4 linked regions of the Rhinolophus ferrumequinum genome follow. The protein of the gene in region 1 purifies or fractionates together with the protein of each later gene. This does not show direct contact. Links are inferred from orthologs where the notes say so. Each region holds a gene or a part of one and is shown on either strand. Other genes may lie near its edges.

Evidence for each region.
Region 2: the proteins of RPRD1B (region 1) and RPRD2 purify together in Homo sapiens (affinity purification with mass spectrometry; 4 studies listed by BioGRID and IntAct, counting the BioPlex papers as one, with this or other methods). This does not show direct contact. The link is inferred for Rhinolophus ferrumequinum from reciprocal best matches to the Homo sapiens genes RPRD1B and RPRD2.
Region 3: the proteins of RPRD1B (region 1) and POLR2D purify together in Homo sapiens (affinity purification with mass spectrometry; 3 studies listed by BioGRID and IntAct, counting the BioPlex papers as one, with this or other methods). This does not show direct contact. The link is inferred for Rhinolophus ferrumequinum from reciprocal best matches to the Homo sapiens genes RPRD1B and POLR2D.
Region 4: the proteins of RPRD1B (region 1) and POLR2M purify together in Homo sapiens (affinity purification with mass spectrometry; 3 studies listed by BioGRID and IntAct, counting the BioPlex papers as one, with this or other methods). This does not show direct contact. The link is inferred for Rhinolophus ferrumequinum from reciprocal best matches to the Homo sapiens genes RPRD1B and POLR2M.

Annotation. Positions count from the first base shown.
Region 1 is NC_046306.1:18,066,051-18,073,457, forward strand, and holds the start of RPRD1B (regulation of nuclear pre-mRNA domain-containing protein 1B), read right to left. Parts: upstream 3,034-7,407; 5' UTR 2,652-3,033; coding exon 2,501-2,651; intron 1-2,500. UniProt on the Homo sapiens protein: Interacts with phosphorylated C-terminal heptapeptide repeat domain (CTD) of the largest RNA polymerase II subunit POLR2A, and participates in dephosphorylation of the CTD by RPAP2. Transcriptional regulator which enhances expression of CCND1.
Region 2 is NC_046305.1:50,691,315-50,699,174, reverse strand, and holds the start of RPRD2 (regulation of nuclear pre-mRNA domain-containing protein 2), read right to left. Parts: upstream 3,191-7,860; 5' UTR 2,210-3,190; coding exon 2,005-2,209; intron 1-2,004.
Region 3 is NW_022680440.1:944,039-951,346, forward strand, and holds the start of POLR2D (DNA-directed RNA polymerase II subunit RPB4), read right to left. Parts: upstream 3,171-7,308; 5' UTR 3,106-3,170; coding exon 3,033-3,105; intron 1-3,032. UniProt on the Homo sapiens protein: Core component of RNA polymerase II (Pol II), a DNA-dependent RNA polymerase which synthesizes mRNA precursors and many functional non-coding RNAs using the four ribonucleoside triphosphates as substrates.
Region 4 is NC_046289.1:51,654,076-51,661,502, reverse strand, and holds the start of POLR2M (protein GRINL1A), read left to right. Parts: upstream 1-4,289; 5' UTR 4,290-4,441; coding exon 4,442-4,554; intron 4,555-6,305; coding exon 6,306-6,953; intron 6,954-7,427.

The sequences.
Region 1 (7,407 bases):
AAGACATAACTAGAAGGATGAACTACAGTAGGCCCTTGGTATCCAAGAGGGATTGGTTCCAGGACAACCCCTCCCCACCCCCACTCTCCCAACCTGCTGCTCAAGTACCAAAATCCACAGATGCTCAAGCCCCCTTAATAAAATGGTATAGTATCTGCATATAACCTAAGCACATCCTTCCGTATACTTTAAATCATCTCTAGATTACTTATAATACCTAATAAAATGTAAATACTATGTAAATTGTTATACTGTATTGTTTAGGGAATAACAACAAGGAAAAAAAAGTCTGTGCATGTTGTTCAGTACAGAGGCAACCATCCTAGGCCTAACTAAGTACATGTCGGCAACAGTATAATTTTTTCTCTAGAACATTTTCAACCCCCCCCACCCCCCGGGTTGAATTCAGGGATAGAGAGGACCAACCATAGATGCTCAACTGGTGTGGGGTGGGGCGGGAGGCAGTGATTAATTCTAACAAAAGCACTCCAGGTTTGGGGAAGGTTATGACCTCCTTCACGTATTAAGTGCAACGAGGCACTGCGTACTTGAAAGCACATGTTTTGGTGTCAGAGAGCTCTGGGATCATGTCCCAGCTGTATGCCCCTGAACAAAGCACTTAATCTCTCTGTATCTTTATCTTCTCATCTATAAAACGGGGGTAAGAATGCCAGGCTACTCCACTTACAACATAAGGTTCCATCATATGAAGTTAGGGTTCAAGGAGCTTCATGATGACTACACCCTCTAAATTGTGTTTTTCAACAACTCAAGCAGGGTGAGGAGGGGAATCAACTAGTAGTAACATTTGAGATGGAGTCTGCCCTGTCTCTGAGATCCTACCGGATAGAATCCTGCAGAGGCGATTCCTTTTTTTCACATCTCAGATTTTGGAAATAGTTGAATGGCACAGTGGTGTACACAGTGGGGATAGAGCCTGGGAGCTCCAGGCTCTATCCCCCAACTGCCCAGAGGGCTGACGGGACTCCTATCTCAGTAAAGCACATGATGGGGGTGGGGGGAAGGTTCTCTGCTAAAGGGCTAGCACTGGGTCTCCTGAAAGAATCCTGGATTTTGGTGTCTGCCAGCCTGATGTAGTCGTAACCTCACCAATTCCAATGCCTTAAAAATACCACTTAGCCACTTCAGTTTCCTCATCTGTAACACAGGGTAGAATTCCCACCTTATAGATAGTAGAGAACACATGTAAAGGTGCTTCCTACGCTATAAAGACCCTACCACTTATAGGCTGTCCAAAACAGCTCTAAGCTTCATTTCCATAGCTTTCTGCTATGGAACTCACCAGAGTATCGCATAGCTGGTGACCATCTTTCCCCACCAGACTCCAAGCTACTTGAAGGCAAAGACCGTGCCTCACATTGAATAATCAATAATCTTATCTCGATGTTATTTCTCGAATATCTGCACTGATCCAGACACCATGCCAGACCTTCATTTGGATTATCCTGTTTACTCCTCACCACAAGTTGTCTGAGCCTCTGATTTTCCTCATCTGCAAGTTTCTACCTCACAGGGCTCTGAGAATTTAAAAAATGACAATGTATGTAAAGATATAAGTACTGCACGTGGCACATAATAAAGGCTCGGTCAATCGGTTAACGTCATCTCCATTTTATAGAGAAGAAAACTGAGGGGCAAAGAGGTTAAGCTGCTGGGATCAGTAAATGTCAGTCAGGCTTAAATCCCAGACAGTTCGTCTCTGGAGCCAACATGCTTTCAATCACCCAACCCAGTGCCTGGCACACAATGGGCTGAGCTCAACGGAATGCCAGATCCTGAGCAGGGTCTACAAGCAATGCAAGTTGCATGAGAAGAGAAGCTTAGGTAGTGTGGCCCCTTAACCTCTCTATGGACAGGAAGTAACTACCCACTTCATAGGGCTGTTCTGAGAACTGAGTGCCAGGATGTATGCAAAGGTCTTGGAATCGTGACTGGCACAGAATAAGGGCTCTCTATGTAAGTGGCAGCTACCCTCATCCTCGTTTTACAGATGAGAAAACAGAAGCGTTGAGATGAAGAAACTCTCCCAGTATTCGCTCAGCTAGGAAGTGGCTGTGCCAAGGCTCGATCTAGGCAGTCTTACTCCAGGGTCTGCTGGCTCTTACTCCAAATGCCCAGCAACGTGCCTGGCACACAACTGGCTAGGGCCAGTCCCCTCCACGAGGCCCGTAACACTGCAGAGATAGTAATAATCACAAGTGTCAGGAGGAGCCCGAGGGGAAAACGGCTGGGTGAAGAGGGAGTCTGGGCACTAGAGCCCCGGTCGGTGGAACCTCAGACAAGCACCTTCAATCTACCTGGGCCTCAGTTTCCTTCTCCGAGAAATGGGGATAACACTGTCTCCAACCTCAGAAGCGCAATCAGAGGCCCGGACCTGGAAAGCAAGGCTCAAGGAAGAAGCTAGAGGGGCCTCAGCAGTGGGTGGGAGAGAGGACAACCCGGGGGGGGGGGGGCACGAGGTGGGGGGGGGGGTGTTTACCTTTGCGGAGCTCGCGGTGCCACACCGAGACGATGGGTCCCGCGTGCTTGCGGTGGTGGATGAGCCACAGGGACAGGGTCTGCACGCTCTGCTGAGAGTTGCTCAACTCCGAGAGCTTCTTCTCCAGCGCCGACTCCGAGAAGGAGGACATGGTGGCGGCGGTGAGGCCCGGCAGGGAGCGGCCTGGGCCGCCCAGTGCGGCGGGAAGAGCGACGGCACGAGGCCGGGGCCTCACCTGACCGCCTGGGGGACTCTTTACTGACTGACAGACGGCTAGGCGGGCCAGGGGGTGGGGGGATGGGTCTCCGCAGTAACAGCCGCCCGCGCCGCCGCCACAAGATGGCCACCGACCTCTCACCCCACCGCGAAGGCAGGGTTAAAGGGCAAGGGCCGGAGTCGCTGGACACCGGGAGGTGTCAGAGCTGCAGGAAAACGCGCCTGCAGTGGCGGCGGCCTCTCTGAAGCTCGCTCGGGGCACTCTGAAAGCTACAGATGGGGAAAGAAACGCAGTTCGGCGGCCTCCGGAAGGCGCTTCGACCGCTCGCGCCCGCACGCCGGCGCAGTGAGTCTCCCCGGACCCTTTCTCCCGCTCCCGGGGAACCTGTGTGGCGCTCTGCGGCGCACTCCTTAGCGCGTCACTACCGGCGGGGAGGAGGAGGCGGGAGAGTGAGGGAGAGGCTGGAAGACAAGGTAAGGGAAGAGTGGCGGGAGCAAGAGGGAGCCCGGCAACTGGCAGCCTGTGGAGGGGGATCCTGAGGGGACAGTGAGGCTGAGTGATCGTGACGTAGGTATGAGAGGCGGCTTTCTCCCTCGACTGGCAAACCCCCCGGCCGCACTCTTCCTCCATACGTGCCCTGCTCCCTGGCCTCCCTCCCCCCAAAGCTTCTTTTTGGTTCTGCCAAGCCACCCACGTGCACTTTTCACGCCTCCACGCCTTGGCTCTCGCTGTTCCTTCTCCAAAGGTGACGCCCCCTTCTCACCTGATGGGCTCCCACTCGGCTCCAGGGCCACCCTTTAATGTCCAGTTCTGACATTTGCACTGTGGCAGCAGCGCCATAGGATACACTTTTCTCCTCTTGGCTCTTAATTGTTTCCTTTATTCCCAGAAGTACGTGCTGCCCTCCGGGGGTCCATTTGACTGTGTCTCACGTTTAAGTAATGTTAACTTTTCGGGGGGTGGAGGCAAAGGGAACATTGACCTTTAAAACACACTGTTTGAGACTGAACCCCTTTCCTATTTTTAAAAAGTTTAAAATTCCAGTTATCAAATCAGCAGGGAACTTTGTCCTTCTGCTATTGGCGTGGTGGTAGGGAGTTAGGTTATTGTAGACGTAATGGAATTTTAAAATTTCCTAATCGTCATGGAACTTAGCAGTTGTGGACAGGTTCCAGAGTCTCTTACTGCGCTGTATTGTAGTTCTTTGTTTAGATGCTTCTGTTTCTCCCCCAGAGTAGAATCATAATCAGAGCCAGCATAGTGAGCAGTTGCTGTGAACTGGACACTGTATTTTCACATAGTAACGCATTTCATCCTTACCACAAATCTATGAGGTAGGTATTACATTATTCCTGTTTGGCAAATGAAGAAACTCAGAGAGGGCACATAGCTAAGATTAGAGGGAAGGACCTGCATCTTCTCTTTTTTACCTCAGCACCTGATTCATAGCTGATTGAGTGAATTAACATAAAAGAGGTGAATAGCTTAAAATCACACAGTCACATCTAGTTGTAATTATAACCTAAGGCCTTTGAGTCAAAGGCTAGGCGATCTTTGTGTATTAGGTAACACTGTCATATACTGAGCATTTTTATAGCAAGTCACGGTGTATTAAGCACATTCCATACCTTCTTTTATTTAATCATTACAACAGTGCTACGAGGTGAGGATTATCACTATTTGACCAATGAGGAGACATAAAGCATGGGTGAGTGTGTCCAATGTCACTTGGACATAGGAAATGACAGAGCAGGAGTCAAATCAAGGTTATCTGACGTGTGATCTCAAATGTTTCATTCCCAAACCAGTGGTTCATTCATTCACTCAGCAAATAATTTTGAGCATCTTTGAAGCACTATTCTAGGCAAACAGTCAGAATCCAGTTCTCGGAAGCTTACCTTCTACAGGGGAAGATAGATAAACATGCGAGTATAAAATGAGTCAGAAAAATGAGTGCCTTAAATACAAATCAAGGAGGGTAAAGAGGGGTGAGGAATGTATGTGTGGGCAGATAGGAATCTATTATATATGCTGGTCAGAGAAAGCCTCACTGATATGGTGACACTTGATCAGAGCCCTGAAAGAACAGAGAGAACAAGCCATGTGCTCTGTAGTGGGATGTGGTTCCAGGCAGAGGGAAAACCAAGTACAATGTCCTGGGGTTAGAAGGGCCCTGTCTGAGGAACTGCAAGGAGGGCAGTAAGGCTAGAGTGATAGGAACCAGAAAGCTAGAAATGAGCTCAGAGAAGTCGCCAGGGATCACATCACATAGTGGGCAATCGTAAGGACTTTGGATATTACTCAGTGAAATGACAGTCTAATAAATGGTTTTGAGTGAAGGAGGAGCATTGTGGCTGTTAAGGAGAAAATAGGGTGTAAGAAGCAGGAAGACCAGTTTGGCAGCTATTGTAATAACCCAGATGAAAGGATAACTCAGACCAGGGTGGAGGTGGTGAGAAAGGGTCAGATTCTGGGGATATTTTAGAAGAAGAGGTGACCGATTAGATATGAGATGTAAAAGAAAGACGGGTTTATGCGGTAGCCTAAGCAACCGTAAGAATGGATTCTTCCATTTACCGAACTGAGGAACGAGCTGGTTTGGGGAGTAAGAGCAGGAGTTTAGATTTGTACATGTCCGGTTGGAAATGCCTATCCAAACAGAGATGTCTCATAGGTAATTGGATCTGTGAGTCTCGAGTTCAAGGGAGAGATCTGGACTGGAGGTATAAATGTGTGAGTCATAAAAGAGAATAAGTGTGGAAAGAAAAGGGGTCCAGTGACTGAGTCCTAGGATACTTCAGGATCTAGAGGTATGAATGTGAGGATGATATCATCATGTGATTTTTCTTCTTTAGCTTGTTAATATTAATTACACTGATTGATTTTCAAATATTGAGCCATGCTTTCATCCCTAGAATAAACCCTACAGTTTTTTTTTTAATTTTTGTATTGTCTTTGTTGAGTTTTGGTTGAGTTTTGTCATGGTGTATAATTCTATTTACATGCTACTGAATTATACGAGGTATGACAATTAAGTTCGCGACCTCATCCTAGAAAAAGTGCTACATACCTCGTTGCTGAATATCACTACGGTCACCTTCAAAGTACTCCCCTTGGGGAGCTATGCATCAATAGAGAAACAGTTAGGAAAATCTTAACTGAAAATCTTGGCATGAGAAAGGTGTGTGCAAATATAGTCCCGAAGGAGCTCTTGCATCACGACAATGCACCAGCTCACACGGCACTGTCTGTGAGGGAGTTTTTAGCCAGTAAACAAATAACTCTATTGGAACACCCTCCCTACTCACCTGATCTGGTCCCCAATGACTTCTTTCTTGACCTGAAGATAAAAGAAATATTGAAAGGAAGACATTTTGATGACATGCAGGACATCAAGGGTAATACGACAGCTCTGATGGCCATTCCAGAAAAAGATTTCCAAAATTGTTTGGAAGGGTGAACTAGGCACTAGCATCAGTACATAGCTTCCCAAGAAGAGTACTTCAAAGGTGACCATAGTGATATTTAGCAATGAGGGATGTAGCACTTTTTCTAGAATGAATTTGCGGACTTTATTGTCAGACCTCGTATTTCCTAATATTTTTAGGGTCTTTGCATCTCTATATTCATGAGGGAAATTGGTCTGCAGTCTTTTTTTAATTTTTGTATTGTCTTTGTTGTGTTTTGGTGATATCAGGGTGATGCTAGCTTCATAAAATGGATTGGAAAGTATTTCCTCCTCTTCTTTTCCTAAAAGATTGTGTAAAATTAGTGTTAATTCTTCTTTAAATGGTTGGTAGAATATCCCAGTGAAACTATCTGGGCTTGGAGATTTCTTTCCTTCCTTCCCTCTCTCTTTCCCTTCCTCCCTCCCTTCCTTTCTACCTTTCTTCTTTTCCTTTTTTACTTTTTCCTTTCCTTTTTCCTTTCTTTTCTTCCTTCCTTCCTTCCTTCCTTCCTTCCTTCCTTCCTTCCTTCCTTCCTTCCTTTCTTTTGAGTACTTAAATGACAATTCAATTTTCTTAAAAGTTATAAGGCTATTCAAATGATCTATTTAATTTTATATGAGTTATAGTAGTTTGTGTTTTTTAGGAAGTCACCATTTCATCTAAGTTGTCAAAGTTATTTGTAGTATTCCTGTATTATCCTTTGATGTCTACAGGGTCTGTAGTGCTGTCTCATTTCAGTATTAATATTGCTAATTTTTCTCTTTCCCTTTCTCTCTCTCTCTCTCTCTCTCTCTCACGCACACACACACACACACACACACACACACACAAAATCAGTCTTGCCAGAAGTTTGACAATTTTATTGATCTTTTCAAAGAACTAGTTCTTTTTCATTGATTTTTATCTGTTGTTTTCTGTTCTCAATTTCATTGATCTGTGCTCTGTTCTTTATTATATCCTTCCTTCTGCTTTCTTTGGTTTTATCTTGCTTGTCTTTTTTAGGTTCTTGAGGTGGGAGCTTAGGTTATTGATTTGAGACCTTTCCTCTTTTCTAATATATGTATGTTTATAAATTTCCCTCTCAGCATGGCTGTAGCTGTGTCCCACAAATTTTATGTTGTATTTTTATTTTCATTGATTTCCATGTTTTTGTGTAAATTTCCCTTGAGATGTCCTCTTTGATCTATGTATTATTTAGAAATGTGTTGCTTAGTTTCCAGGTCTTTGGATCTTTTCCTGTT
Region 2 (7,860 bases), on another chromosome or scaffold:
TTTTCTTCCCAGACCAATCATTTTTTGCCCTCGTAAAAGATCAACAAGGGAAATAAACTCAGGCACAATATCAACAATAGCAGAGACAGAAAAATTCTGACTCCAGTGTATCTCATCACTGCTGACTAGAAAAAAATATTGCAATTGTCATTTGTAATCCCACAAGGCAGGGATGGGGACCAACGTATTCTTGCAAATGATGTAACCATACAGGTAAAGCACCAGAGCCCAAAGGTAGAAAATGTTAAATGCTCGCATAATTTAGTAAAAAATGTTTTAAAACAGGAAGGAGACTATGTTTAAGGAAAACATGTCCTCAGGCTCACATGAACACTGCTTGCTCCCACTGGTGGACCAAGCGCATTAAAGGAGTAATCTTGAGAACGTTCTTTTACAAAGTTAAATGTGGCCACTGTCATCTGATATCATCTGATATGGTGAAGCCAAATCCTAACTCCACCACTTTACTGTGTAATCTTAAGCAATTTAGGTAATATCCCGAGCCTTAGTTTCCCCATCTCTATACCAATGATTTAAAAATCTATTTCTGAGGGTTATTTTCAGATAGGAGATATATTATAAATGACAGTAAAGGGCTGGGTACATAGCAGGTACTTAATATGTAAGGGTCTTTGAGGACTGTTATCATACTTGATTTTATATATTCTAATTTTACCTCTTGAAAAGAAAGTAACTTTGATCTGCTATTGGTAAATAAAGGTAATCCGTCTTGGTTCTACAACCCTTTGAGCATTTATTATTCAAAGAGCCACAAAACATCTCTCCCAACAATAACTTTACATATACAAATGGTTGAAAGCTTGGGGCCTATGATTTTGCAAGTTTTATCCATCTGTTCCCTAAAAGGTAAACACAAATCAAAACACTTCAGAGGCCATGGCAGAAGTGGAATAAGAACAACTGGATGACGGGTATCACTGATGACAAGCCATGGTCAGGGAGCAAAAGAGCTAAAATTCAAATACAGAAGCAACAAAAGACCTAAAATTCAAAAATCCCTGAGAAGAAAGTTAACCCTCTCTTCTCAGCAGGAAGCAACAGTGAATTCTCCACACTTCCTCCTAGAAGATTTGAGATCTTTGGCACACCATCCACGTTTCCTGACAGTTTACTAGACCTCTTTTCTGTAGTAAAGCAGCAAAGTGGAAAAACTGCCCCACGAAGGCAAAAAAGTAATAACTGGGGGGAGGGGGCGTACTATATATTCAAAAAGCTCATTTCTTGATTTCCTGTTTTGATTATTACCTATGAAACCAAACTCAATTCCTTAAAAAGGTATTTCAAGTGATTAAAAAGTAGTCGGATGTGGGTTTTTTTTTCATTTTAAGGTATTATTGACAATACTTGACTACATACAGTAGTTTCCGGTCATTATCAAGAAGCCTGTATTTCATTGCAGCAAACACAGGTAACAGGGAAACCTCCCAGGTGGTCGCCTCAGCTCTATGTGGAGCACACGTTGTTTAACATTCACCCAGATAAACCCTTCTTATTACACATCCCAAGTTTCAGGTCAGTAGAAAACAGAGTGGTCCAACATATTCCAGCGAAATAGTTGGATTTACTAGTGGTGCTTAGATCAGAGCTTGTCTAGCATCAGGAAAACCAGAAATCATTAACACCTCACGGCCTATAGAAGAAACGAACGGACGCGACAATTTCCGTGAAGGTTCAGTAAAGTCAACGGTACCTTACGAGGCTTTGAAAAGACATAATGTGTAAATCGCTATAGATCTGGGGCCAACGGCCCAAGGTCACACCAAGTCAGTGGCTACATATCCACGAAATGCTAAGCTTCCCGCAATTCAGGAAAACCCTGGCTAGGAATGGAGGAGTCTGGGTCTGGGAACACTCGGGTCAAAGCTTTACTGTGAACAACCCCAGCCAAATGCAGTGGCTCCATGGGAAAACCTCAAGCGATTCGGGCGGTATTTCCTTCCATTTCCCCGGTCTTCCCTTCCCCTAGGCACCCCCAACACTCACATCTCCGGAGCCACTTCATCCAATGGTAGACGATAGTAGTGTGGTGTTTCTTGTTCTCTATACACCAAGACGACAGGCCTTGAATAGATTCCATGGTGTTAGTTACCGACTGGAATTTTCGATCCAACGAGGACTCCAGAGCCCCTGCCGAAGAGGCCGACGAGGAGGAGGCCTTACTGCTGCCTCCGCCGCCGCCGGCCGCCATCTTCCCGGTTTGCACAAGCGCTGCTGCTCCTCTGGCGGCGGCGGCGGCGGCGGCGGCGGCGGCGGCGGCGGCAGCGGCGCCAGCGGCGGCGGCGGCGGGAGCGGGCAAAACAATCACTGCGAGTGCGTGAAAGCCGTAGGTGGGGAAGGAGGCCGGGGGGTGGGGGTGGTGCACGCGCTAGGCTCTTCTGGAGGTAGGATCGGCAGGCCAGCTGCTAGGCACGCTGGCGGCTCCAGCACGCTGCAAGGAGGGGCTGCGGGTTTCGAAGGTTTATCAGAATGGTTCAAGGGGTTGTGTGTAAACTAGTCAGTAATCAGGCAAGAATTACGCAGAAAACAGGTCCTTGCAAAGCCTTTCAAAACGGCTGGCCCCAAACTAATGGTTTTATACTCTTGCGCTCTTTACGCTAAGGCCCTTTCCCACTCCTATCCCCACACTCCTGTTAGGGCGGCTGTGAATATCTTAAATTTAATACTACCCGAGTGCCCCTTCGATTGCAGAAATCTTTTTCTCTCCTTTAGATCCTCTAGTACAGAAAAGGCCCAAGGCTACCTAGTCAGGATTTTTTTTTTTGCAACGCAATAGCAGCAAAGGAACAGCAACAGTATCGCGCACGCGCCGCTTGGCCCCGCCCCCCGTTTCCTTCTCAACCTAGAGAGCAGGGGGAGGTGTCATGGCGGGGCAATCTGACCAATCAAGGGAGAAGAAGGAGAAGCGCGCGCAGGAGCCCGCAAACCCCTAGAGCCGAGGAGGCGCTTCAATTACTTGTGCGCCTGCGCAGCACCTCCGCGTGTAGCGGACTGGGAGGAAAAGCGGGGAGGGGAGGGTAAGGGGACTGGTCAAACTAAGGAGAGGTTGGGGGAGGGGGTTACACCGCCGCCCCGCCTTTTGCTTCCCAGCGAGGTCTCTCACTTGGGGCTATCCAGATCACATAACAAGGCCGGGAAACTCCCACCGCTCAGCGGCCACTATTACTTTCTGGCGGCTGCCGCCGCCGCCGCCGCTGCTGACTCCTCGGGGCACCGACGCTCGACCAAGTGGCTGGCAGCCATCTTGCAGTGCCTCTGACAGGTGCGCATGCGCCAGCTCCAGCGAGCCATTCACTACGCAGACTCCCAGACGAAGCAACATTTCACAGTCCCCTTGGACCATACCATTCATAGCCGCTTGACTATTTGGATTATATGAAGAGGAAGTAAATTAAGTGAAACGAAAATTTCCCCGTAAAATTTTGGAGACGAGTAAAAGATAAAAGACAGGATATGGTCTCACCTTCGGCACAATCTCAGAATTGTACAATACATTATAATTTACAAGAGCCTTAAGTAATATTGATTAGCATCATTCTATCACATCTGTCTAGGTAAATCCTCTGGGCAGATTTGGAGGCTTCCGTGTCCAACTGAACACATGTAATTATTATATTTCAATTCTTTTATGTCACCCCAGTAGACTCACTTTTCTTGAGGCAGAGAATCTGTTTTTTCGAGCTCATATCTAGTATTAATTCAACAAAAAGTTGTTGAACGTGTTGAACCAAGCACTCACTGTTCTACCTGTTGGATAGAGTAACAGGAAAACGGACAAAAATTCCTTCCCTCTAGGGCTTAGTGTCAGGAGACCATAACCAAATACATGTCAGGGAGTAGTAAGTTCTATTAAGAAGTATGAAGCAGAGTAAGGGAGATGGGCGGTATCGTGTGGGTGATCCTAGATGGGCATGGGAATGGTGGTTTAATGAATCGGAAGGGCTTTTGGAAGGAAGTGACACTTTATCTTGTTAAACAAAAAATTTTGAACTTCATGGCTGAAAGCCTTTTTAAAAGAAAGAGTTTATTAGCCCATTGCTGGTGAAAAAAGAAGACAGGTTTTGGGGCGTGGAGTCTAAACCACCAGCAACATAGCTAGGTAGGAAGGATAACATGTCCAAGTCCCTGAGTTTTGCAGGCATTTTTACACATGGAGTAGGGAGGAGAAATTTATAAGCCATTCTGAAAGAATTTACATTAGCTATAGACAAAGGGGATAGGCCCAAGAGAGTCCATAAAACTCATGCATAAACAAGAAACAGAGACCCCTGGGGTTCAGTAGCAGCCTAGCTATTCTCTTTTTTTTTAGATAATCTGGAAATGGCCACCTGGAAGTTAATTTAATAATTCCAAAACACACTAAGGCAGTGTAAGCAGTCTTTTGTTGGTTTTGCACTGCCGTGGTTACCTGATTAACCCCTTTTTGTCTCTTCCTTCCACTCTCTGGCCTGCTATAATTTAATTTAGGACTTCTCAGAATTTTCTCCTTGTCAATCTGAATGTCGAGAACAAGGTAACCAAGCAGATACCGGAGAGGAGGAGGAGAACATGCTGGCAGAAGGAACGGCAAGTGCAGAGGCTCTTAAAACAGAATGTCTTGACATATTAAAGGAAGAACAAGGAGGCCAGTGTGGCTGGAGAAGAGTAAGAGAGGGGACAAGTGGTACAGTATGAGGTCTGAGAAGTGAAGGGAGAGAGTTCGTGTGGAACCTTCCAAAGCCACTGTAAGGATGTTGGCTTTGAAATGAGATGGGAAGTCCTTTTAAGCAGAGAAGTTACATGGCAATCTTTTTAAATGATCACATTGGTTGCTATGTTGAAAATAGACTTCGGAGCCACCAGTTAAGGAGGCTGTTGGAATAATCCAGGCAAGGAAATGATGGTGATCTGTACCAGAGTGCAAAAAAGATAATGAGAAGTGGTGTCAGATCCTGGATCTATTTTGAGGGAAGAGCCTAAAAGCATGTTCATGGATTTAAGGGGAGTGTGGGAGAAACAAGTCTGACACCAAGGCTTTTGACCTGAGCAATTCTCAAAGCCTTTTTTTCCTTATCATTGTCCCTAAAGATTCATTTTAGATATTTTTTCCTAATCCCCTCAACCTCTGTGAAATTTTAATGCTACAGATATGCTGTGTATCTGTATATGTATAATACAATGTGTATAGCTGTGCTTTCTGCAAGAGTAAACATGAAGTTTACTCTTTTTTTTTTTTTTTTAAAGGAGGGCACAGCTCAGAGTGGCCCATGCGGGGATCGAACCGGCAACCTTGGTGCTACTAGCACCGTGCTCTAACCAACTGAGCTAACTGGCCACCCAGACCTTACTCTTTATATTCAATGCAGTTAAGAATGACTAAAATCTTTAAGTTAAATATTTTAAATGTTAAAACTATTAATATTTAACAACTTTATAACTGTATTTGCTGAGTAAACTTTCCTTACATAAATTGTAATTTCTTACATATGCAAATTACAACTTACATAAACATATAACAGCAATGTAATCATTTTTTAAAAAATTATTCAAAACTATTATATTTCCACAACAGCAACAACAACAAATAAACAATCCAATTAAAAAATGCACAGACGGGGGCCAGCCCGGTGGCTCAGGCAGTTGGAGCTCCATTCTGCTAACGCCGAAGGCTGCCGGTTCGATTCCCACATGGGCCAGTGGGCTCTCAACCACAAGGTTGCCAGTTCAATTCTTCGACTCCCGCAAGGGATGGTGGGCTGTACCCCCTGCAACTAACAACGGCAACTAGACCTGGAGCTGAGCTGCGCCCTCCACAACTAAGATTGAAAGGACAACAACTTGACTTAGAAAAAGTCCTGGAAGTCCTGGAACACACTGTTCCCCAATAAAGTCCTGTTTAAAAGAAAAATGCACAGAGGACCTAAACAGACACTTCTTCAAAGAAGACATATAAATGGCCAACAGATACGTGAAAAGATGCTCAACTTCACTAGCTCTTCAGGAAATGCAAATCAAAACCACAAGGAGACACCATCTCACACCTGTTAGAATGGCTATTATCAATAAGACAAGAAATAACAAGTGTTGGAGAGGATGTGGAGAAAAAAGAACCCACCTACACCGCAGGGGAATTTAAACTGGTACAGCCACTATGGAAAACAGTATGGAGGTTCCTCAAAAAATTAAGAATAGCGCTACCAGATGACCTAGCAATTCCTCTTCTGGGCATCTAACCCAAAATTTTGAAAACATTTATTCATAGAGATATATGTACCCCTATGTTCATTGCAATATTAGTCACAATAGCCAAGACATGGAAACAACCTAAGTTTTCTACAATGAATGATTGGATAAGGAAGATGTGGTACATATGTTTAAGGGAATACTACTCAGCCATAAGAAAGGATGAAATACTGCCATTTGCCACAACATGGATGGATCTTGAGAATATCATGCTAAGGGGGAAAAAAGTCAGACGGAAAAGGACAAGAACCATACGATTTTACTCACATATGGGATAAAAAATTGAAAGCAACAAACCCACACACAAAAACTCAGACACAGACAACAGTATGGTGGTTACCAGAGGGGAGGTGGAAGGAGGATGATGAAGGTAAAGGGGGTCAAATATGTGGTAATGGAAGGAGACTAGACTTTGGGTGGTGAGCACACAGTACAACATACTATATTATAGAATTGTACACTTGAAACATATAATGTTATTAACTAATGTCATCTCAATACATTTAATTTAAAAAACTTATTTTCCAGAAAAAGTAAAACAATTGAAAATATATTAAAATTTTAGTGAACTTTTAACTTTTATTTGGCATGAGAAAATTACTAGCTGCTAGATATTTATTTAGCTATTGTTGACATTTTTTCTTCTCGGCATTTGATATAGCTAAAGATTAATTGAGTAACTTGTAGAATTAAATAATAAAATATAAGCTATTTTTATTTGCTTCTCAAAGCCCAAGTCAGATGCAAAGCACTGAGAATCATAACATTCACAAGGTAGTAAATGACAGCCAATAGTCATGTGTAGGCCACTTCCTGTGTTATGACTTCAAAGTAGGGCAAATGAGGGAGAGAAAGTTCTCCAATCACAGCTACCTATTTCTTATAGTTTTGTAGCACTGGCCTTGCATACATTTTGTGTATCATCTGTGAGTTCAGTGTCACTGCTGCTTGTGTCATACCCCGAAAAATGAGAGAAATTAAGGAATAAGATTTTGTTGGGTAGAGTTGAGCTTTGGAGGGTGACAAAGCATTGTAATGCCTAAGATTTTTCTTTTTATCCCCCAAGAACCAATTATTTTTCCCCTATGGAGTGATATTGGCCCCATTGAGACTGCATGAACTAGAAGAATGGAGTTGCCATTTTCCCAGATGGACCAGGGGAGGAAAGAGGGAAGAGCAGTCTTGTGAGAAATGAGTAGGAATCAGGATTTCAATTATGGACATCTCGAGGCTGGGAAACCAGACACATAAATGGCATCAGCTATGTGAGTCCGAAGTTCATGAGAGAGGTATCAGTAGGAAACATCAATTTATTATCTGTATATGGATGACCTTCAAAGCTGTGAGATGGATGAGGTTGCCCAGGAAGTAAGTGAGTATAGATAGAAAAGAGGTCCAAGGACTGAGATAAAGAGCAACTTGCAAAGGAGATTGAAAAGGAATGAGCAGTGAAAACAGAAACCAGAGAATAATGTTCTGAAAGCCAAGTAATGAAAATTTGTCAAGACGGAGAGAGTAATCAATTGTCAGGTATTGCTATATAGGTTGCATAAAATGAGGACTGAGATAACCAGTGAATTTGGCAACAAGGTGATCATTGGGGATCTTGACAAGGGAAGT
Region 3 (7,308 bases), on another chromosome or scaffold:
CATCATTAAAAATGCTATCATCTCTTTGGAAAAATCATATCTCCCTCACATTCCCATAGGAATATATGTTCCTAATATGTGTCACCAAGTATTAGAGCTGGATTTTATCTGCCGTTCCCTTATCAGTGAGTTCCCCCAGAGTAAAAGTGTGCATTCATGTTTATAATCCCACACTGATGAAGAGGAAGCAACAGTGAGAAAAATCCTATTTGACATTTACATGTGATATCCGTATGTTTCCTACTGGGGACATCACAGACATGAGAGCAATGCCTTCCATTTCCTGGGCCAGGGCACAAAGGCGTCCCACTCCCTTCACAACTGTTGGTGTGTGTGTGGAGGGGCAGGGGTTGAGGAGCATGTAAGGAGAAAACTATTTTTATTTGAAAGGTTCTCATTGCTACTGAATATAACAGGCACACAAAAGCTATTTTCTACTTCAGGGCAGCATGGTTTGAACGAGAGGAAGCTCAGAGTTGATTCCAACCCAACCCTCTGAGGTGGTATACAGGTGAAGAAACTACGGCCCTAGAGCAATGAAGTATCAGGACATATGACCCCAAGTCTCTGAAGTGAAAAGAGTTAAGTGACATAAGGGGGATAAATGCAGCAGCAGCTAAATAGTGGGTCAGTCTCAGCTTCTGAGGCTGCAGCATTAATACAGCCTTAGAAAATGGAAATTAAGAGGCTAAACAAGTTACTACTAATAATTACCTCCAAGTTTATTATAGCTGTCGATGTTTTTAAGGCTTCTGGAAAATCAAAGTTAGAGATGTCTCCCCTTCTGCACTAAAGAAATGTACCTGTGAAATATAATGGGATGGAACTCAGGACACCAGGAGTCTAGTCACCTGTTCCTTCGATAGATGATTAGATAAAGAAGATGTCGTGTATATACACAATGGAATACTACTCTGCTATAAAAAAGATGAAATACTGCTGTTTGTGACAACATGGATGGATCCTGAGATTACCGTATCATGCTAAGTGAAATAAGTCAGACAGAAAAAGTCTCTCATATGTGGGATATAAAACCGAAAGCAACAAAGGAACAAGAGAAACAAACAAACAAAAACTCATAGACACAGACAATAGTTTAGTGGTTACCCGAGGTTAAGTGGGAAGAGAGGTGATAGATGAGGGCAAAGGGGGTCAAATATATGGTGATGGAAGGAGAACTGACTCTGGGTGGTGAACACACAATGTGATATATAGATGATGTAATATAGAATTGACACTTGAAACCCATGTAATTTTACTAACCACTGTCACCCCAATAAATTAAAAAAAAAACGTACTCAGAAGCTTTCGGTGGTCTCCATTTTTAGTCCTTGAACTAATTACACGTTTGCTTACTTTCCATCCTACAGCAAAGGCTTTCTCTAAGGACTTACTGTTGTTCCTATATATATACATATATTCTAAAATACATAAACTTTACATGCTGTATCAGCTGAGAAGTTAAGAGATAAGAGATGTTCAGAACTCTGACACATTGTTAACTGATAGGATCTAATTATCCCCAATTCAATAAAATATTCATGAGTACCAGATGTTACCTGATTTTATCTAAACAAGTATTTTCCAGGTTAAAAAAAACACTAAGTAAAAAGTACCTACACAAAACCCACATACAAAAAAACTGGTTTAATTTATCATGAAATTAAGAAAACCATTTCCTTCTTAGTTATTATACCTTAAAAAAGAAACAAATGTGTATTTCCATTATGCTAAAAACTTCCATGAAGCTATCCTATGGAAATATTTGCACTTGAGTCTATGAAATAAAAAACTGGAAGCAACCTGTATGTATATCAATAGATAAATACTATTATTTATATTTAATAAGTAATAGTATCTGGAGCTTTAAAAGAACAGGACCTTTCTATACAATATACCATCAAAAATTTTTAAAGCTGTAAGATTTCTATAGCATAATCCCATTTTTGAAAAAAGTGTATATGTATATGCATATATTTATGAATAAGCATAAAAATTCGTTTGGAAGGATAAGCACTAACCCGTTTAGTTTCCTATGGGTGAAAGGGTGTTGCATTTCACATTGTATTGTGGATATAATTTTTAAAACAGGAGGATATTGTCAAGGTTCCCTCATTTACTTTGTAATCAGTATCTGTAGGATGCATTAGTTTAAAATCTGAAGTTTTCTCCTTCCTTTGGGTTTCTAAATTACAAATAAGGGACATCACAATGCAGACAAAGCTCCCTGACAGCAAAATGTGCTTTAGTTGCTGCGGTCTGACAAAGATTCTCCCCGTGACCGCTTTCTAGCCAGGCTCCTCTGAGCCCTCTTCCCGACCAGGCCTCAATTTTGGCCCATAAAGGCTTGATTAAAACATTAATATGATTTCTAACAGCTCAAGGCTGTATCCCTAGAATGACCTTAACTCCTTTAAAGCGCCGGCCTGTGAAAACTGAATGCAGCCAAAATAATTTAGTTTGTTCCAGCCAACAGAGGGCGGGCAGTGGGATGGTAGGAATCTAACTTCCAAAGCTCCAGCTGACAAACCCAAATGGGTTTCAAAAGGACCAACCCCCTTCCCACTTTCTGTAATTTTTCACTTCCCTGACTCTAAGCCCCGCTCACCGCCGCTCCCTATCCTTTCATTCTCCCTGTAAAACGCTGTCACCTCTACACAAATGAAGTTGAGTTCAGTCCAAGCTGGACTCTTCTCCCTGTCGCAGCTGCATATTACTGATTAAAATTCGTACCGACCGCTTTAACTAGTGTCAGCTTTGTCTTTGACGCATCTCTCGGGCACTTTGCAGTCTATCAGAGAAAACGAACTACTGAAACAAGGAGCCGCAGCCGCCCGGGGCACCCCCGAGTGGCGCCGAAGGCTCCAGGAGCCCTTCTCCCGGCACCGAGCCCAGCGGCCCGGGCCCTCCAGGTCCGCAGGCGCCTCCTCCCTGCTGGTCGCCGCGCCGCCACCCGCCGGGCTTCGGGGCAACGCCAAGTTCCGCGGCGGCCACGCAGAACGGCGGGACAATCGCACGGCCCCAGGCCTCACCTTTTGGAAAGATGAGCTGGGAGGCGTCCTCCTCGACGTCGCCAGCCAGCGCATCGCTGCCACCCGCCGCCATCGCCGAGCTACGCGCCGCCACCCACACCGCCGGAAGCGGAAGCGTGGGGACCCCGGTGCAGCCACGTCCGGGGCGTGGCGGGGGCGTGGCGGGCCGGGGCCAGGACGCTGCGAGGGGAGGGGTTGTGCCGCGAGTCTTGGAGCGGGTCCCGGGACCGTTTTGAGCCTCAGCTTCTCACCCGTGAAATGTGGGTAAGGACACCTGCTTCCCAGTGGGGAGGGGTGGGCTGGATGACATACAGGAATGTGCCGGCTGACCCCAGGAACTCTCCGTTGAAGGGATGCCGGGTCGGTGACCTCGAAAACGTACCGGGGAATTTCTTCCAATGCCTTACGCATTTTAAATTTTGACGTGTAGTGGATTATTCTGATACTTCTGAGCACGTGGACAGTGATTTTGAGAGGCCTTTAATGTCTGTTGAAGCACTTGGATTATACATAGAAAAGTAAGCAAATGGAAAATGATGTTTTCAAATTCAGAGAAAAGATTGTAAAATAAAGGACATAATTATAGTGCATTGCTTCGCTCAGTAGTGAGCAGTGTTTAGGTATCATGTAAGCTCTGTTCAAATGAAAAATAAACCACACAAGAATATGTACCTTGTATTCCTTTACTTTATAATTTTTACAAAATTAATTTGCTTTGTATGTGTATTTCTAGAAGAAATGTATTGGGTATGTCGAAAGAATGCCTAGCCTAAGAAAGTCTTATAAGAGTTTATTTGAGCCAAACGGATGACAATTGCAGGCAAACAAAATCTCAACAGATTGAGAAAATGCTCCAGAAAATGGCAGTTTTGCAGCTTATTTTATACATTAGAGTCAAAGGAGGAGACCTAAGAAGGTTTACATGACATCCATTGATGGCAAATAAGGGGTGGGAGAAAGCAAAACGGAGAAATCTCTGGCATTGGATAAAAAGCAAAACGGAGTGGACATACTTTATATACATTGGTGGGCACAGGATAGTTAACATTTACAACACATAGAGATGGTATGTGAGCAACCATTTAATAATGTTGTCTTGTGCTCTGGTACCAGCGGTTGTGCCTTCGCGGGGACAGGAAAAGAAAATTACTCTGACATTTTAAAGGTATGTTATATAAGATTGCACAAAAACAATAGACAATTTCAAAGGTAGACTGACCTTTGTCAAGGAAGCTATAGGCCCTATAGGCCTAGGACGGGCCTACCCAACATGACCTGCTTTTACTTAGGAACTTTTATGTTCTGGCCATCTTGTGTGGTTACTTTTGGTCTCTGAGTATGTATATATGCGGGCCTCCCCTGAGCTTGTCAGGTTCAGTACACGGCCCCCTTTTGGTCCACAGGTAAAATAACAGTAGGTTATTGTGGGGACAGAGTCCCAGAGAGCAGTTTCTAGGCTCTCAGCCTCACGTGGAAAGGTACTGGCTCAGGTAGTAAATGGCCATCAGCTGTGACTAGTTGGCCATCAGCTATTACAGGTTAGCCATTAGCCACTAGTATAACTTCCGTGGCTACGCGGGCAGGTTGGTTGGTTGGCAGAGAAGGGCGGATTGCGGCTAGCAAGGGGGATTGGTTCACAGAGAAGCGGATGGCAGATGGCAGATTGTGTGGATCCTGCTTCTATATCTCCAGCCCAGCCGCCATCGAGAATGTAGTGGTCTGACTCCCCTATCTATGGCTCTGTTGTTCCTTTTCGGCCTCGCCATATCCTGTGTTCTTGTGCAGGGAGCGTGACCAGAGTCCCTGAATGACAGTTATATTGTAGTAGCAGATCTTGTTACTGTTTCAAAGTGCTTTCTGTACGGTTCATTAGAGCTGTGACAGATGTACTGTTGAGGTGTCTGGGCACATGCAGCAGCTGGGGGGGGGGGTCGGAAATACGCCTGGAACTCTGTAGGCTTCTTTCTTCCATGTATCCATCCAGCAGGCCCTTACAGAGTACCTACTACTTACTGGACCTTCCCATGTGCTGGCCCAAGAGCTGGCTGGATTCCCAGCACTTGGTGTCTTCTGCATACACAGCAGTAGAGAAGACTATAGATAAAGAGAAGAGAGGAGAATAACAAGTAATACAAACATGATGTTTCAGGTTTGTTTATCCAGAACATTATCATTCAGGAAACCATTGTAAACATTTCTGTGCAATGCTCTAGGCTTAAAAAGACAGTCATTGATCTGTCCCCACAGGGAGCTCACCAAGAACAGTTGACTTATTTTCCATAATAAAAGAAATGGCGGGTGGTATGAGAAAGTCAAAGAAAGTGCTGTAGAAGACTACGGAGAGAAAGAGGTCACTTCTGGTTGGGAGTAGGTGAACCACAGGAGGATCTGGGGAGCAGGGACTGGCCTGGAAACTGCTCCTTAACATGTAGTCAGAGAAGGGAGAGGGGTAACATGAACGAACTTGCCAGGTACATACACAGAATATTCACTCTTCAAGGTAAATTCATATTTCAACTTCCTTAAATGTCACAGTAATTATATAGAACTTACACAAACCCAGAACAATGTTTGCTATAACCGTTTTCATTAATGTTGCTATATCATTTTTTTCAATCAAGTGAATAGTTTACACCTTTTATAACCTTTTAGAATGCTTCTCAAAGAATCCCTTGTGGACTGAATCACTCATGTTTTCTGCCTACACCCAGGTGTTTTGCCTCTAAAATAGATGTTTCCCAGTTCTCCATGTACTCAAGGTTAATGTACAGAATCTCCCAAATTTAAGCTCTTCTCTCATAAATTAAAAAAATCTTTGGCACCTGCTGCTGGAAGTCTGCTGGTAAGCGCTACAAAGGAAGCCAAAAGGATAAACATGTAACCTCCCTTTTGCTATTAATAGTCTCTCGAGATCAAAGGAATGAGGTATATGGGGGGCGGGGAGGGTTGTGTGACTCTGCAAACCGCCCTTCACTTCCAGGGACAACTTCCAGAGGCTGTCCTGGGAGTCCGGACTTGGGTTCTAAGTCCTATCTGCCTGGCAATGTGACAGGGCAGTGAGACCTGAGAGGGCTCATCCACTCCATGTGGCTGTGGTTTGACTCTGAGAAACCCTTTTCTCAGGTCAAGCTGCGCTTACTTCAGCACCCACCTCTCTCAGGAAGCCCGTCGAGTCGGGGGGCTGAGCACACCAATTATGCTGCCTCCTTTTTGTGTCCAGAGTAGCGTAGGGTTCTGAAGGGTTCACATGGGCCGTTTTCCCATCTTCCGCCAGCACTGGATGCTACTCCAAATAGTCACAGCCATCCTGCCACTGCTGCATGTGCTGGGGCCTCAGCAAAGTGTTTTTGACAGGCTACCTTGGAAATTCAGTCCTGTCGCAAAGCAGGAAATTCAGCTCAGAGTATTACTTGTCTGGTTCTTAAATGGCAGGACCAAGATTCAAGCTAAAGCCTGTCAGACTACCAGCCTGTGAAAGTCCCAATGTCAGCACTTTGGGTTGCTTATTTGTTTGGGGACCAAATAAGAATGGCCATACTGGGGTTGGGGTCTGAGTGGCAGCAGGAACTTGAGTGACTGACTGGGACTCTCTCCGTTGCTTCCTCCACTGATGGTTAAGTTTTGGAATCGAAGGGGTTTTCAGTTTGCTGTAGCATACAGAACCTACTACAAAGAGCAAGTAAGCAGCAGGAAGAATCCTTGTCAGTTTCATTTAGCATTAAGAAAAGGCTCGAAGGGACAGGGTTTGCATTACCTTCTTCAAGATGCTACTCTGGCTTCTTTGTACAGTATTGGTTTAGAGTCAAGTCCTTCAACCAGCTCAGTGAATAGTATTTAAAAGCCAGATATTCAAGCCAAGGTAACAGACTCCAGGTTCACCTGGAAGCAGCTTTACACCCACACCCCAAGAATCAGCACCACCGAACTCTATGGCTTAGTTCACCTTTCAGGTAGTAGGAGTGGTTAACATGGCGAATTGTTCCAGTGCACTGCCACCACCACCACCACCACCACCACCACCAAAAATACCCCAAAACACAGCTGTATTTCATGCTGTTTAACACAGATGGTATTAAATAGGTAATAATATGGAATGTTCATCTCTAGAACTGTAATTTTTCGAAACCATTCCTCTCACACACACACCCACCGTTATTACCAGTCTATGTTTAACCAGTTGGTAGTTTATGTCCAAAATTATCATCTAACCCTGACAGCACGTATACCTGTAGCCATATGCTGATGAGTTCTGCCAGGTGTAAGAGCCTCAGAACTG
Region 4 (7,427 bases), on another chromosome or scaffold:
TTTGTTCTGGTTTGTGAGTTTATTCATAGGAAAAGTCATAAAAAGATGTTATTCAATCACAATAATATTCATTAAATTTGCTAATTAAAAAGTAAAATTAAATGAAATAAAAAAATATCAAACATTTAATAATGTTTTTTTCCTAAATGATCTCCCACACTATCAAAAAGATCATAAAACACTGTGGTGGCCTGATAAAAGAGATTTGTCACCAAACAACACTCAACCATGTGAAAGACTGAAAAGAAAAAAATTCTTTCAATTTGAACCTTATTTGGCTGGGATTTTTCTCACCAGAGTCTTCCTATTTTTTTTCCATGGGCAACTGCCCTCTTGATTAATCCCATTTCCCTCAGTCTTAGTTTTTCCAAGCAGCTGAGCAAACAAAGATGCAGGCGGCCATTTTAACGTGCTTCCTCTCTCCAGCCCTCTGGGATGGGCCGGCTGTTCATCCTGTTCATAAACCAACAGCCTGAATGTGCTTGGAGAAAGCAGCAAGGATCTTCTGTCAGGATTAATTTTAATAGGCCACAGTCTGTCACCTGGGAACCATAGCTCTGGCAAATGGCTTTAAATTACTATTTGCTGATAAAGAGTGAGATATGAGCTGAAAATTTGGTCCCTCATTTTAAACAGTTTGGATAACTAATGCAAGAATTTACTTTCAGTGTAGAGTACATGTTCTTTACAGCCTGAATCCTTGAGTAGCTGAGGAAAACCTTTTGTTGCAGTGGGGTCACAGTGAAATACAAAGAGGGGAAATGTGACATTTTATAGAAGTGTAGAATTTTAGAGCTGGGAGGGAAATGAAGAATTTGTGAATTCCTCAGCACAAAGCTTCCTCCGAAGCTTTCTGTTTCTGATTTCTGTGTAGAGAAATGTTATCCCTCTTACTATCCCTTCCATTTTTTTGTCTTCCTCTTCACCAATTCCTTTCTCTCTCCTTTTTCTTTTTTTCACTTTGTTGATCTCATATCCAGTTCCAACTCCCTGTTACCTTCCTTACTTTCTCTTCCCTAACTTGCCAGGCTCCTGTCAGTTATTTGTGAAGTTCTGCACTGATGGACAGAAAAGGCAGCAGGGTGAAGTAGGGCTAGTCCCCTCTGTGAAGTAGGGATAGTCCCCAGTGCTCTGTTCATCTGAGAAAGCAGTGAGTGAAAGGAGTGACTGGAAGAGGAGGTTTGGTAAATGGTACACAGATGTCAGCCATTATTGTTTAATAAAGTCTTAGGCTACCATTCTTTATTAAGTTTCCAGTAGCTATGGCTGCTATGGTTTGTTTGAAAGTTCAGCATGTTCCATTCCCAAAAGGATGTTTAAAAAACACACCAAAGAAAATAGAATTTTCTTCGAATTTGTTTATGACCCTTGGTTCCCATCTCTTCTCCATGTGGCCAGCAGACCAAAAGGTAGCCTTCCCTCTCCTCAGTCGGCTCTATCACCTTGAAGTCCAGACATCAATCAAGCCTTGATTTTCCTAACACATTAGTGCTATTGGACTCTCTTATTAGTCAGGGTTCTTCAAAGAAAAAGATCCAATAGGATGTGTCTATGTGTGTGTGTGTATAATCATATGAGCCAATTTCTTAAAATACATTTCATTTTAAGGACTTGGTTCATGTGATTATCAATGCAGGATAGACCAGCAGGCAGGAAATCCAGGGGAGAACCACTGTTGCAGTGCAAGTATGAAGGCTGTCTGCTGGCAGAATTCCTTCTGTTCGTGGGAGGTCAGTCTTTGTTGTAGTAAAGGCTTAATTGATAGGAAGAGGTCCACCTACATTATGGCAGGTAATCTACTTTACTGAAAGTCCACTGATTTGAATGCAAATCTCATCCAAAAAATACTTTCACAGAAACACCTAGAATGTTTGGCCAAATATCTGGGCACTGTGACCTAGGCAAGTTGACATGTAAGATTAACCATCACAGACTCCTTTGCTGATAATCATTGTTCCTAATGAACCTGTCTGGTTCTGATATCTGCCTATCCTCTCTTTTAAATTCTCTTTTGGGATGAACCTCCCACTAACCATTATTCTGCTGCCAAGTTCCGCTACTTGGCAGGAATCAGGCTAAATTTTTCATTTACACTTGCCTCACATGTCACAGCTAATATGACCACACACCACTGCCACCCTGGGCATTTCTAATCAGAGAGCCCGGGCATGCTTCTGCCTGGCCCCCTGTGGTACTCCCTTCCTACCCTCCAATGATCCCTACATGGTGGCAAGACCACCTCTGAATGCTGAGAGGCCCAACAAATGTGGAATCGAACACTTCCAGTCTTTACTACATTGATATTGGTGTTTCCCACATCAGTATTCCAAGTGAGGAAAGCAAAATTAGATATTTTTAAGGGCAGCTTAGGCTACAGGCAGGAAGATCTTTTAGGAGCTATTATAGTAGTTCACTCAAGGGCTTGGACAAAGACAATGGAGGCAACAATGGGTGTATGGGGAAGTGCTGAAAGGGTGGCAAGAGGGAGAGTGTACAGAAAAGAAGGTACTTGGGCTGTAGGATTTCGTAATCAGTTAGGTGGAGGGAAAAAGAATAGTCAGGTATGAATATCTAGTTTCTTGTTTGGACAACTATGTGGATGGTCTTGCCATTAAACAGTGAGAATTTTAAAAACAAAGAGTGGGTTAGGGGAGGAAATTTTTAGTTTCGAACAAGTTGAAGCTGAGAAATCTTAGGGATATCCAGGTGGTAAGGTCCTTACCCTGACTCTAGTTCTAGCCCCAGAACAAATACTCCAGATTTGAAACTCCTGGAAAGATTGGTAACATGGAATTCATGGTATGAGTGACTTTTGAGAAAATGGTCAACAGGATCAGATGCAGCAAGGAGAAAGACTAAAATCTGTCCCTTGGGTTTGGCAACCAGGAGAGGGTTCATGGCACTGGTGAGAGTGGTGAAGATCTGCCGGAGAGTAAGTCTTTCAGGAAGCTAATCTCTGAAGAGAGGGGCACTTTTTACATCTTTATTGGGGGGTATAACTGACATGCTATAGACATTGGACATATTTTAAATATACAATGCAATAAGTTGTGACTAGCTAAGTCCAAGGCCTTATTCAAGTATTTATTTAGCTAGGGCTGGAGCAGGCTATTGAAGTCCTTGAAAGCAGGGTTTAAGTTGAGAATTTTTATACATTAGTTAATCTCATCAGAATGGACAAGATTGGGAGGACACAGAAATGGCTTCAGCCATGCTCCCTGAAGTAGCTTCAGATTTTTTTCTAGAGCTTCTCTAGTTAGGAGGGATTGCTTTTGTCTATTATAGCACCTTACATTGAATTTAGAAAATTAAAGTTTCCATATCAAAGAATGGGGAGGCAGTGTTGGAAGTTATGGGGGCATTCATACCTCCCAATTGATATCTACTGTGTCTCTTTCATGCTTCTTCCTTTTTCCTTTGGGACCCAACTCTGGTAGCTGAACTATAAAGAATAGGTTAGAGCTGGGTGCGATGCTTATTACGCTGCCTTCCTCTTCTCAACAGCCTTAAAAAAAACTTTTCAACAATTTTAAACACTTGGAAATAGGCATACAGTGAAAACGGAGACTTACAAATTGGTGTCCTAAAAAGAGCAGGTGGGCATTTGAATTTGAACTCTAGTGTTTTCACTTAACTAGTTTTGTGCGCCGGGAATATTTACTTCAGTTTCTGTGCCTTTGTTTTTCTATAGGCAAAATCTGAAATTGTGAAAGAGAGGTTCTCAAGCCAGACATCAACTATCTTGCAATGCCTGAGGCAGTACTGCCCATGATTAAAGTCCAGCTCCAAATGCCAGAGCCCCATGAAGGAACGCTGATGGTCCCTAAGGGTCCTTTCAACTTTAACTTTTGAAAACATCGCAGCCTTGGGTTAAGGAGGCGCCACATCATAGACCAGGGCCTCCCAAGCCTCGTCCTGCACGTTACCCCAGCCTCTCACCAAAGGCTAACTCGTCACTCAGGTTTCGACCTACATTTCACTTCTTAGAAACACCTTCTTTGGTCCTCACACCAATCTTACTATTAATATTGTTTTATTATTACTTGATTAATGTCTGCCCCCTCCACCAATCGGTAAACTCCGTAATAGCAGGGGCTGTGGCGATTTGTTGAGGTCACGGTGGCACTCAGTAAATACTTTTTAAATCAACAAATGAGGGGATGAACAGAGAAACGACAAACGGCGCGAACGCACGCCCCACCGGGGCGTGACGTCACCCGCCGTAACTTCCGCTCCTCCGGGCGCCCCCTTCTCCTTGTCCGTGTTTATTTCCGGCGTTTCAATAAAGCTCGATTCGGCTCGAAGAAGACCTGTCCTTCCGGGAAAATGGCGGCTCCCGCTCGTGCTCCGCAGTCCCCGCCGGCCGCAGATCCGGTGCTAGCGGCGGGAGCTGCCGAGGAAGCCGAGTGCCCGCCGCCTCGCCAGCCTCAGCCCCCGCAGAATGTCCTCGCAGCGCCGCGGCTTCGAGCCCCAAGCTCCCGAGGGCTTGGGGCAGCGGAGTTTGGCGGAGCTGCGGGAGATGTTGAAGCGCCAGGAGAGACTTTTGCGCAACGAGTAAGCTGGGGTCCCGCCGAGTCACCGCCAGGCTCCTCCGGTTCAGGTTCCCAGGGACGCACCTCCCCCCGCCCCCCACCCCGTTCCCTTCCCCGGAAGGTGACCTTGTCTCAGACAGCTCCGTTCCAGCCCCGCGGGCGAGCGGACGGCCTGCAGCCGCCAAGCCGTGCGCGTTCTGGCCTGGCGCGGCCCGCCTGTGGGGGCGGCTCGCTGCGGAACGGCGCTTCAGGGTATCAGCTCTTCTTTAGCTCCTCGTTGGTGTATTGACTCAGCTACCGAGTCGGTTCCCTGAAGGGCGGGTCTGTACCTCGATCCTTTTGTTCCCCACCCCCGCCCCCATAGCGTGCCCAAAACAGCCTGTCAGTTTCATCCCTAGGGACTATTTTTATAGGAACCGTTGGAAATGGAAAGAGTGGGATTGAGGAGTGGTTTATTAGGCAGAAAAAGTTGAACTTTCATTCGTTGGCAGACAATGCGCTTTAGCAGGGAAACGATATGATGAAAGTGATTTATTTTAGGAAGCCTAATTTAGCAGCTTGGTGCAAGATGCTTTGAAGGAGTAAGAGGCAGAAGACAGTAGGAAGATATTTTCAAAGAGTTTGCCAACAAGGAGTTTGTAAGAAAGTGAACTATAAAAGTAGTTGAGGAGTTGGGGAACTTCATCAGACTTGGAATAATTTGAATAGGTTGTTGACAGGTGGCTGAGGATTGCGGCCTGTATGGAGAACTATTAACCACAGGAAAATTGGGGGAGGGGAATAGATTCCAGGTTGACTTGACTTAGGGCGTGCTGAGTTGAAGGGAGAGTTAATTATATCTAGTTAAAAGCTGGAGAAATGGTCATGAGGCTCGAGAGAGGAGAAAGCTTGGAAAATAGAGGAATCTCAACTGGAGGGGATGTTATCAATTGAAACTGTGGGAATGAAAGTAGTTTCCGAGGAAGAATAGAGGGCCTGACATGTAACCTTCCCTCCCCATTGTATGGCTAAAGACAGGGGAATCAGAAAAGGAACTCTGTCCCTCAGCAAATAGGACACATGATCGTTTGGGGGCTTCCTAGTACAAGCAAATATTTTGACTTTGTGAGAATGGATTTTTAATTTGTAACAGCGAATTAACTTGGTGTCAGGACTCCTTTCTATGCGTAAGTCTTATTGAGTATTCTAAAGAATTCTTGTTTTATGTGTGTTATATCTGTGGACATTTGTCAATGTATTAGGAATTACAAGTGAGAAATCGTAAGCACAAGAAAACACAAGTTCATACATTCTGTTAGCCAGCAGAGCAATGGTAATCACATGTCCTGTGGCCTCAGGAAAACTCCACTCACCCATGTGAAAAAAGGAGAGTGAAAATTGGTAAATAGTGTCTTAGTATTACTACGAAAATACTTTTGACCTTATAGACCCATTCACCTCCTCTCCCCAGGAAGGCCTTAGAGATCATACGTTAAAAACTGGTGACTTCTGGGATGTCTCACATGAGTATTATATGCTTAAAATACTTTTGCTGAAATTCTAATTAGAGGAGACAAATGAGGCACATTCCCTATTCTTCCTTGATCTGCTTGTTTTTTGGGGGCGGGTATTTGGATAATGACTGTCTTATTTCATTCATGTTTCGGGGCAGTTGGAAATCAGATTTTTGACTTACAGATTGATTTTTCTCCCTTTGAAGATAGTGCTTTGTCATTATATCTCAAGTTTAAAAACATGGCTCTAATGTATATGTGTTTTTTTTCCATTTGACAGAAAATTCATTTGCAAATTGCCCGACAAAGGTAAAAAGATCTTAGACTCTGTTGCCAAACTGAAAGCTGCCATTGCAGAACGTGAAGAAGTTATGGAAAAAAGTGAACTGTTTCATCCTGTTAGTTTAGACTGTAAACTAAGGCAAAAAGCAATTGCCATTGTTGAGATGGACACGGATAAATTCCAGAATTCTGACAAGATACTTGATACTTCATCACGAGTTCCTGGCTGTTCCTCTGTAGATAACATCACATCATCTGAAACAACCTCACAACAACAAGGACTTGTATCTTCTACCCAGAAAGGCGATGAAGAGGCCCCAGAGTTGGGGTACACGGTGAACAAGCGCCCAGCCCCCAGCAACAGAGCCCATGCACCTTCCTTATCCGAAGCTAGTGGTCATCTCCCTCAGCATCGAGTGTCAAGTCGAGCAGAAGATAATTCTAGCAGCTCTGACAGCTCGTTTATTGATAGGTTACAAAGGATCACAATTACAGACCGAGGTGAACACCACTCAGAAGAAAACGGGAGTACTGAGAACTTGACAGGCCTTTGTAGTGAGATGCAGAAGAAGCCTCATTACATGGAAGTGCTAGATATGCGAGCCAAATACCCAGTGCCCTCGCCACATAAATTTAAAACCAATGTGTAAGTACCATCAAAAACAGGCCAGTCACAGGAACATACTATTTGTTAAACTCAAAAAATTGGGAGAATGCTTTAAGTTCAGTGGACTTTGTGTGAGAACTACTTGTAGTGGGGAATGAGCATATGTGGAAAACAGTGAGACCAGCCTGACTGGAGTGGAGGATTCATGTTGAAAAATACTTTAATATTTAGCCAAATAATTGAAAAGGTTTTAAATAGCAAGTGGAGTATTAAATTTCAGGACACTTAGTCAGTATTTCATAATAAACACAGAGAATTTACTGTGACTCCTTTTTTCCCAGAATCATTTTCAGGTATGCAGTTCCCCCTTTGATTAGACTGTCAGCTAAGGAAAAAGGAATTGTAGGAGCTGGTAGACTTTCGCAGCAAAAAATATTTGTGTGCTCACTTTCTGTGTAAGCAGCAGGTGCTACGGTGACACAGAAGTAAAGATTCTGCTCAAAGAGTTTAGGT